Linked DNA regions of Caenorhabditis elegans. The protein of the gene in region 2 purifies or fractionates together with the protein of the main gene of each other region. This does not show direct contact. Each region holds a gene or a part of one and is shown on either strand. Other genes may lie near its edges.

Evidence for each region. Proteins that work in one complex are often made in the same cells at the same time.
Region 1: the proteins of nssp-5 (region 2) and tba-4 fractionate together in Caenorhabditis elegans (co-fractionation; one large-scale study listed by BioGRID). This does not show direct contact.

The regions. Positions count from the first base shown.
Region 1 is NC_003280.10:10,916,798-10,921,492, reverse strand, and holds tba-4 (Tubulin alpha chain), read right to left. Parts: upstream 2,788-4,695; 5' UTR 2,776-2,787; coding exon 2,083-2,775; intron 2,030-2,082; coding exon 1,509-2,029; intron 1,464-1,508; coding exon 1,331-1,463; 3' UTR 1,277-1,330; downstream 1-1,276. Other genes in the region: F44F4.10 (PARP catalytic domain-containing protein), read left to right, coding at 4,276-4,332, 4,391-4,519, 4,577-4,695.
Region 2 is NC_003279.8:4,588,506-4,592,689, reverse strand, and holds nssp-5 (uncharacterized protein), read left to right. Parts: upstream 1-2,790; coding exon 2,791-3,090; downstream 3,091-4,184. Other genes in the region: D1007.10 (Gustatory receptor), read right to left, coding at 3,334-3,450, 3,762-3,896.

The sequences.
Region 1 (4,695 bases), on a different chromosome or scaffold from region 2:
GACCTAAAAATTAAACAAAAAGAACATATTTTTAATTCTCACGTTTAATTTTTTAATTTGCATTAAAACAATTGAAATACTGAGCAAATTACCAAATAATTACACGTGAGAATTAAAAATATGTTCTTTTTGTTTAATTTTTAGGTCGTTTCAGAGAAGAAATCACCTAAAATGAACATGAAATTCGTAAATGGCGTGTTCTCAGCTTTCTAAAAATATATTTTTCGACCCAAAAATCGCAATTTAATTTTTTCGCCCATTTTTCGAAAAGCAAAAGTCCCATTTCTTATTTTGGAGCGGAGGACGATTTTGGAGATGAGCCAACATTTTCGAAAGATTTTTTAGGACATTGTAGAGACCTCAAAAGAAAGATCATTGTTCAAAATTTCAAGTCGATACGTTAGATATGAAGAGTTTTATGAGCGAAATTGGATTTTTTCAGAAAACGGTCTGTAACTTGGCTGAACATGAAAATATCAAAAATCTTAAAACTGATAAAATGTAGAGAAATAGTTCTTACATACAACTCATGAAAAGTTTTTTCTGCAATTCAATGAACGTTGGGTTATGACGGGCACAACAAAAGAGTTCTCAAAATTTTTCATGATTTCTGGGAAAATGGCTTTGACTCTGTGTAACTCTACAAATAGCTGGTGTATTAAAATAAAAATTAAAGTAATAAATAGAAAAAATGTTTCTGATTATTTTGTTGTTTGAACAATTGCTTTCTAGAAGTGTGTTTTTTGAGATATGTCAGTTTGAAGATACTCCGTTTAGCGAGTTTATGAGGTTATTTGGTCCGCCGAGCGTGTTGAAACTACGAAAAATATCACTTCCAGACGTCATTGAAAGCCTAAAATCAAAAGAAGGAAAAGTTTAGGTATTTGCCCCTACAATGTTCACATAAAAAACCCATGGTTTTAGGAGTTTCCAGTGATAAGCCTTACCGAAAACTGATTGGAACTCTGCGGGCTGAGCAGCACAATGACAAGGAAGACACTATAAAGTGTGACGTCGGCCATACCTTTTAAAGCACATTATGAAATGGAATGAAACTGACCATTTATATGCAAAATTAGTAGATTTTATAAACTTTGAAAATGTATATCTGGTTTCAAAATAACTTGTAAAGAAATTCCCGTAGCCATTTCATTGCGAATTTTGTGTTCTTTCAGCATTTAAAAACGGCATTCCAAAAGCTTCTCATTTTGGGATTGAATGGAATAGGCCATTTTCCCCCTTTCTTTGTAAAAAAATCTCCTCCAATCAAACTCGCAATTGTTAATAATTTAAACACTTTATGATACATAAGTATTTAACAGTGAACATTTCAATACTCTTCTCCGTCTTCTTCCAATCCCTCGTTGGAATCAGCTCCGACCTCTTCGTAGTCCTTCTCGAGAGCTGCCAAGTCTTCACGAGCCTCAGTGAACTCTCCCTCTTCCATTCCTTCTCCGACGTACCTGCAAATAATCGATATTTTGTGTTTCAAACAACTCGAATCTTACCAGTGAACAAAGGCGCGCTTGGCGTACATCAAGTCAAACTTGTAGTCCAGGCGGGACCAGGCCTCGGCGATAGCCGTAGTGTTGGAGAGCATGCACACGGCGCGTGGCACCTTGGCAAGATCACCTCCTGGAACCACAGTTGGTGGTTGGTAGTTGATTCCAACCTTGAACCCAGTTGGGCACCAATCCACAAATTGAACTGATCTCTTGGTTTTGATGGCAGTAATTGCAGTGTTCACATCCTTCGGCACAACATCTCCGCGGTACAGAAGACAGACAGCCATGTACTTTCCGTTGCGTGGATCACATTTGACCATCTGATTTGCTGGTTCGAAGCAGCTATTGGTGATGTCATTGACAGACAGAGCCTCGTGATATGCCTTCTCGGCAGAGATCAATGGAGTGTAAGAGGCCAATGGGAAATGAATTCTTGGGTATGGCACCAAGTTGGTCTGGAACTCGTTGAGATCCACGTTGAGAGCTCCGTCAAATCTGAGTGAAGCGGTGATTGAAGACACAACCTGAAAAGAAAAGGAAACACATAGGATACATTAAAACAAGTATTTTGCGAAACCTGAGAGATAATTCTGTTGAGATTGGTGTAACTCGGTCGGTCAACATCCAAATTTCGCTTGCAAATGTCGTAGATCGCCTCGTTATCAACCATGAATGCACAATCGGAGTGCTCCAAAGTAGTATGAGTAGTAAGGATCGAGTTGTATGGCTCAACGACTGCAGTGGAAACTTGTGGAGCTGGATAGATTGAAAACTCTAGTTTCGACTTCTTTCCGTAGTCAACCGACAAACGTTCCATCAGCAGTGAGGTGAATCCGGATCCAGTACCTCCACCGAAGGAGTGGAAGACAAAGAATCCTTGAAGACCACTACAGTTGTCGGCGAGACGACGGATTCTGTCAAGAGTAGTGTCGATGAGCTCCTTGCCAACGGTGTAGTGACCACGAGCATAGTTATTAGCAGCGTCTTCCTTCCCAGTGATCATTTGTTCTGGATGGAACAGCTTCTTGTAGTTTCCAGTGCGGATCTCGTCGACGACTGTTGGCTCAAGATCCACAAAAATAGATCTCGGAACATAGCGTCCATTTCCAGTATCTGAGAAGAACGTGGTGAAGGATCCACCCTCATTTTGTTGCTCAGAAGGCATAGTTCCATCGGGTTGAATTCCGTGCTCGAGACAGTATAGTTCCCAGCAAGCATTTCCAATTTGAACTCCCGCCTGTCCAACGTGAATGGAGATTACCTCACGCATGGTTTTTTTTCTCTGAAAATTGAAAGAAATTTAGGTTCAGAATAGTAAAATTAACTATAAAATCGTAGAACGTAGGAACGCAAAGATATACGGGCGTTATGTATACTACGGGGAGAAGAGAAGGACAATAGTGGTCAGCGGCGAGGCCAAGAAGAACTATGAAGAAATAGGGAAATAGTGTTGCGCCAGTGGAGAGAGAAAATGAGAAATGGTCGATGTAAGTGCAAAAGCAAGGGGACGAAAAGTAATAATGATAGGTGGAGAGACACATTACGAAATGTGTGGTTGCTGCTGTGTCGATTAAATTATAAAATGACACGTTTAATTATGGATTTTCATTTCTTGTTCAGAAGCTTCAAAAAAATAGTTACAGCTACCATGCATTTGTGACACCACGCATGCAGTTTTTACGATGACTCAATCGCATTTTTTGACGATCTTGCAGTTGATTGATTTTCTGTCGCATCGTTTTCTTTTTCATGGTTAACGTTCAATGATGCCGATCAATGCACAAAAAAGGAATTTTTATCTGGTCAATGAGAATTCTCGTTTGATATAACCGGAGTGCAAGAAATGATCCTCGAGCACTGTTTGTCCAAGACTAGTGGATCTCCGGGTATTATTTTTGATATTGATTTATCTTGAAATAAATCATGTTGAAGATATTTTTCAATGCGGCATTAGGCCAAAAATAACCGTGCAAACGGCTTTGGGAACAGGGATGGGCTGCAAATTCGGCAAATCGGCAATTCGCCGGTTTTCCGATTTGCCGGATATTTTGATTTTCGGAAAATTGCCAATTTGCCGTTTATCGAACATCAATTTGCCGGAACTTTTTAGAGGAGTTTTTTTATAAAATGGAAACACTTAAAACTGTGTCTTTTTGATTTTTTTTTTCAAGATAGATGTAGGAACATTCATAGGTTGCGTTCAATTTTGCCGATTAAAATTGAACTTTTGAAATTTTCAAAAAAAATGTGCAAAACCACAATTTGCCGATTTGCCGATTTGCCGAAAATTTCAATTCCGGCAATTTGCCGACTTGCTGGTCAATCCCATAGATAATTGGGTTTTTGGTATGTGTATGTATTTGCCAGACTATAAAATGGAGAGGCTCACATGGTCATTAGTCACGTGTTGAGAATCATCCTTAGCTTGCTCATAAATGCTAGATCCATCAATAATTCGACAGCTTCACGATTACTGAATGGGGAAAGGCAAAGATCAAATGAATATTCGGGGGATAAGTTGAATGGCAGAACGTGATACAAGCTTTGTCACAGTCTAATATGCTTTTTTTTTTTTTTAAACTTGAAAAAAAAACACAACAATATACACAAAAGTAAGACAATTTTTGTTACGTGGCCGAAAGGTTATTCTTGCAACCACAATAAACTCGGTAAAACGAAGAAAAAACAACAAGGGAGATTTTGTGGATTTTTCAATCATTGTTTGATATTTCTGTAAAACAAAGTTCCAACTAATCAAGAGGTGCAAATAATGAACGATGGGAACTCACGAACTCCGTACAACAGCCTCTACAAACCGCTGAACTTGGTAAGTTTTTTAAGCTTTTCAGTTTGAGCTTTTGAAGCTTTAACAGTATCTTTTTCAGATCAAATCAAAGCCGGATGGATGTTGCAAGCACAACGGTCAGTGCCCTTATGGTAAAAATCAAGCGGAAAGTGTGGACGATGGGAACTCCAGAACTCCGTACAACAGCATCTACGAGCCGCTGAGCCTGGTAAGTTCTGAAATTTCGAGTTTAAAACTTCTGAAGCTTCAACATGCTCTTTTTCAGAATAAATCGAAGCCAGACAGTCAGTGCTCCAACGGTAAAAAACCAGCGGACGACGAGTACGTGAATCTTCTGCTGCCGCAAAGCAAAGAGGAACAGGTGGCTGAGAAGCTTGCGGACAA
Region 2 (4,184 bases):
TTTTTTTAAACTTTGCATTTATTTTTCTGTCCTGTAACCACAAGTCAAAGGTTAAAATTTGAAAAGAAGATCATACTATATATAAAATCACGATACAGGAAAAAAAACAAGAAAACGTATTTCTCATCCTAATATTTATCTGAGGAACTGAGTAGTTTATCACATTAGACTCGTTTTCTCTCCCCTTGTCTTGCCCCTTTAAGATATACCACCCTTCATTTTCCTGTCTGCGTCTCTTCTCTACAATTTCCTTAAATAGTTCCCGCCCATTTTTCGGAGAAGCCCTCCCCCGCAGCCTGTGCATTCACTATCAACTTTTCAGTTCAGAACATACCCCACCCATTTTTATGACTCCAATTTTTCCAATTCCTTTCTCTGACTAGTTCGGTTTAGTTTGACATTTTAACTTTCATATTTCTTACAATTTGAATTTGGGTTACTGTATTTTTATTCTACATTAATCCTGGATCGCACCGTAACAAAAAATTGTCATAGGATTTCTGTAACGCTACATTATAATTTTCGTAATTAGTAACAGTACGCCATATCTGTAATTTTTCAAAAAAAAGTATTATTTTCACCTACCGTAATATTTTTTCTGACTAGTTATTTTAGTTTAATATTTAAACTTTGATATTTGTATGCAAACTTTGGGTTACTGTACTTTGTCTATTCTACAGTAATCCTTAGTTTGCATTGTAACCGGATTACTGTAGTGTGTATTTTTCACTTATAGTATTCACTATAGCAATTAGAACTGGTTACGGTACCGTCAAAAAAATTCCTTTTGTAGCTACAGTATTTTTTTGAAAAATCAGTTTCAGTAAACACGCTCCAGCGCTCCATTTTGAAATGGTATTTTTTTCCGGAAAATCTTTGATCAAGATCATAATTAAATTAGGTCATGATCTACGTCGTCGAAGACCAATTGAACTTTAATAATTTAATAATCGGATTAAAATTGAATGAATTTTTTCTGTAAATTGTACACGATCTGTGTCAGACACACATATGTGTGCTTGTGCTTCTTTTTTTTGGAAAATCTTGAACTTAAAGGGTTTAACTTATAGGTTACGGTAGCTACAGTAACGTACTGTAGGTCCTACCACGATTTTTTAGAAATCAAATTTTTTAGATCTTCAAAAAAATATTCATGACAAATTTTTCTTGTAAAAAAATACAGTACCATACTCGAAAGAACCTCGGTGGCCGAGTTTTTCTTCAAAATTTCAAAAATATTATTTCCTAGATAAACACAAAACTCGGCCAGAAATTGCCTGCAGTCCCTTGTTGTGGCCCAGTTTTTTTTTTTCAATTTCTCGGCCGTCTGTGAAAAGATTTTTTTTTTGAAAAAAAAATCAACCTCCGGCAATTTTCTCAATAAATTCACGAGTGCCTATCAATTAAAAATTAAAAACACTCATCCCTTTTATCTAATTTGCGTCATAAAATACGTGCTTCGCGCGTAATTCGCCTGTCTCTTTTTCTCTGAAAACACCACAAAGAACTGTTTCTCCGACGGACAGCACATGACTTCCGATTGTAGTGGGCGGAGCCTATGCAGTCTGTATTAGTGTGCAAAAAGTTTTTAGTCTTTCAACTGTGTTGACCGATACCTATTTTTAGCATCTTAATTGGAAACATTTTCAAATTTTTCGCGATTTTTGTGTAAAAAAAACACGGTACCCGGTCTCGACACAACAGTTTAAAAAAAATTAAATTCAAACAGGTGTGCGCCTTTAACGAGTACTGTAATTTAAAATTTTAGTTGTCGTGGAATTTTTGTGCATTTTTATTGTTGATTTTAAGTTTTTAGAATGAAGAGTTGTATTTTTTACCAAAAAATCGATAAAAAATTCCGCAGCAACAAAATATTGAAATTACAGTACTCCTTAAAGGCGCACACCTTTTCGCATTTAATAAAAATTTGTCGCTTCGAGATCGTACAAAAATCATAAAATTGTGCATTTTGCGGTCTGTAATTTCAAATTTTTGTTGAACATTTGTGTTTTCACGAAGAGCAGCCCAAAAACCCTTCTCCAAAATTCCTATTTCAAAATCTGAGCAAACATGGTCTCGCCCACCCCAAAATGAGATCCCATTTGTCCTAAGATGGGAAAACATGAAAAAAAGATCAAAAATTCAACAGGCTCCGCCCATACTTTTCTATAAATATCCGGCACAATTTCGAATTTTCTGAGAACTCTGTTATGAAATATTCCATTTTTTTGTAATCTTTTTTTTTAATTTTGTCAACCATTGTGACCCATATACATTTTTAAAAACCATCTTTGAAGAAATCTTTTAAAAATTTAAGAATAAAGAATATCTCTCCAGTTGTTTCAAAAAAAAACAATTTTGCGATTCTTCTCTAAAAACTTGTTTCCCTAAAAATACAGTACCCGGTCTCGACACGACAATTTTTCGTCATGTTAAATGAAAAAGCATGTGCGCCTTCAAAGATTACTGTACTTTCAAACCTATGGAACTTTTTTTTCAATTCGTCGCGTCGAGCGAGACCTGCCACCGTGTTTTGTTGTGAAAATATCGAAAATATAGTATTTAAAAAAATTCGAATTGGGTCCCGACACGATCCACGTTTCGAACTGGAACTCCAGGAATCCAGAAGGACTGTGGTAACGTAAAACTTGGGTGGGACCTAACAGTGTTTTTCTTTATTAATTTCCGTTCACCTTTTCTTCTTGAACTTCTCTGTAAATCCTTATACTCCGAAGTTTTCTCTCAAAATACCTAATTTCATTCATATTTTTCCAGTCCCTTCCACAAAAAATGCCTGGGCTCATCGGTTTGGGTCTTCTGATACTTCTCGGATTCCACGTCACCTACAGTACCCAATGCGATTGTAATTCATCCTGTGCAATTTATACGTCACCAGTTCAATGTGTCCGTTGTTGCACACATTATGTGAAACGAAGATCTCTCCCACTTCATCCCGCTCATCGAAAACGGCAGTTTTTGCTCACTGAAAGCACGAAAATCAAGCATCCGATATGGAGACGGCCTGTGGAACCAATGGTAGAAGAGTCATTGCCACGTTTAATTCGTCTTTTACTCAGAAAACCGCTTTAAAATATGGTTTCCCTCATCTTTTTTTGTTGCTCCAAAAATTAAATTAATCTTATTCTATAGTTAGATCTCAAATCTCTTTCTCATCGTTTTCCAATTACGGGTTTTGGAATTTTTGAAAATTCTTAATTTTTCATGCATAATTCTCTTCATTTCATTTCTATGTCTGCTTCTCTTGGATCTTGAATAACAAAATCATTTCAATAAATATAGTCAAATTGTTTATATACAACATACACAAATAATTTACAATAATTCGGTCGAACCGTATTCTCTCCCGTTAAGAATATCATCGATAACTTGGTTGGCTCCGATCGCGAATCCGAAGGCAAGCATTTTTCGATTAATCAAGAGACCCGTGATCTGGAAAAAGAAATCTTGAATTTCAAAAGTTTGACAATGTTAATCTTATTTTCGGGGTGAGACCCAAGACTGTGTTTTGCTTTCCACCAAAAAATTATTTTATTGCAAAAAAATTAATTATTGCAAAAATTGAATTGTACTAAGCTTCATTGCCATCTTTCTTCTATAAATACAAGTGGTTTTTCGAGTTAAAAAACTAAATTTTTCCTGCACAGTGCAAATTTCTAGATAACCCATAATTTTCGTTTGAAAAAACCGTTACTTTTCCGGAAAAATCACATTTTTCAATGATTTCTGACTTAATGTCTTACCGCATATAAAATATTGAGAAGAAAAGTGACGAAAACCGTAGAGGTTATGTAGATATTCCGGAAATTCAAATATTTTCCAATTCTTTTCTGGCTGTTCACAATCAAATCAGTAATCTCTTCGTCTGATAAGTGTTTCTGGAAAAAAAAAATTAAAATGTTTGATTATTTAAAAAAATTTAATTTTCAAATATTTTTGGCAAAATTTTTCCTCCGGTACACGGTCTCCCCACGACAATTTTGTTAAATGTAAAAGGGTGTGCACCTTGAAAAAGTACTGTAGTTTCAAACATTGGAATTTTCATCGACTTTTTAAAATTTATGTGTTTTTACTGTTTTTTCTCTCAATAATTGAATATACTTTAAAGAAAAAAATATGAAAAAAACGAAGAAAATTCCAAAGCCACTGAAGTTTGAAATTACAGT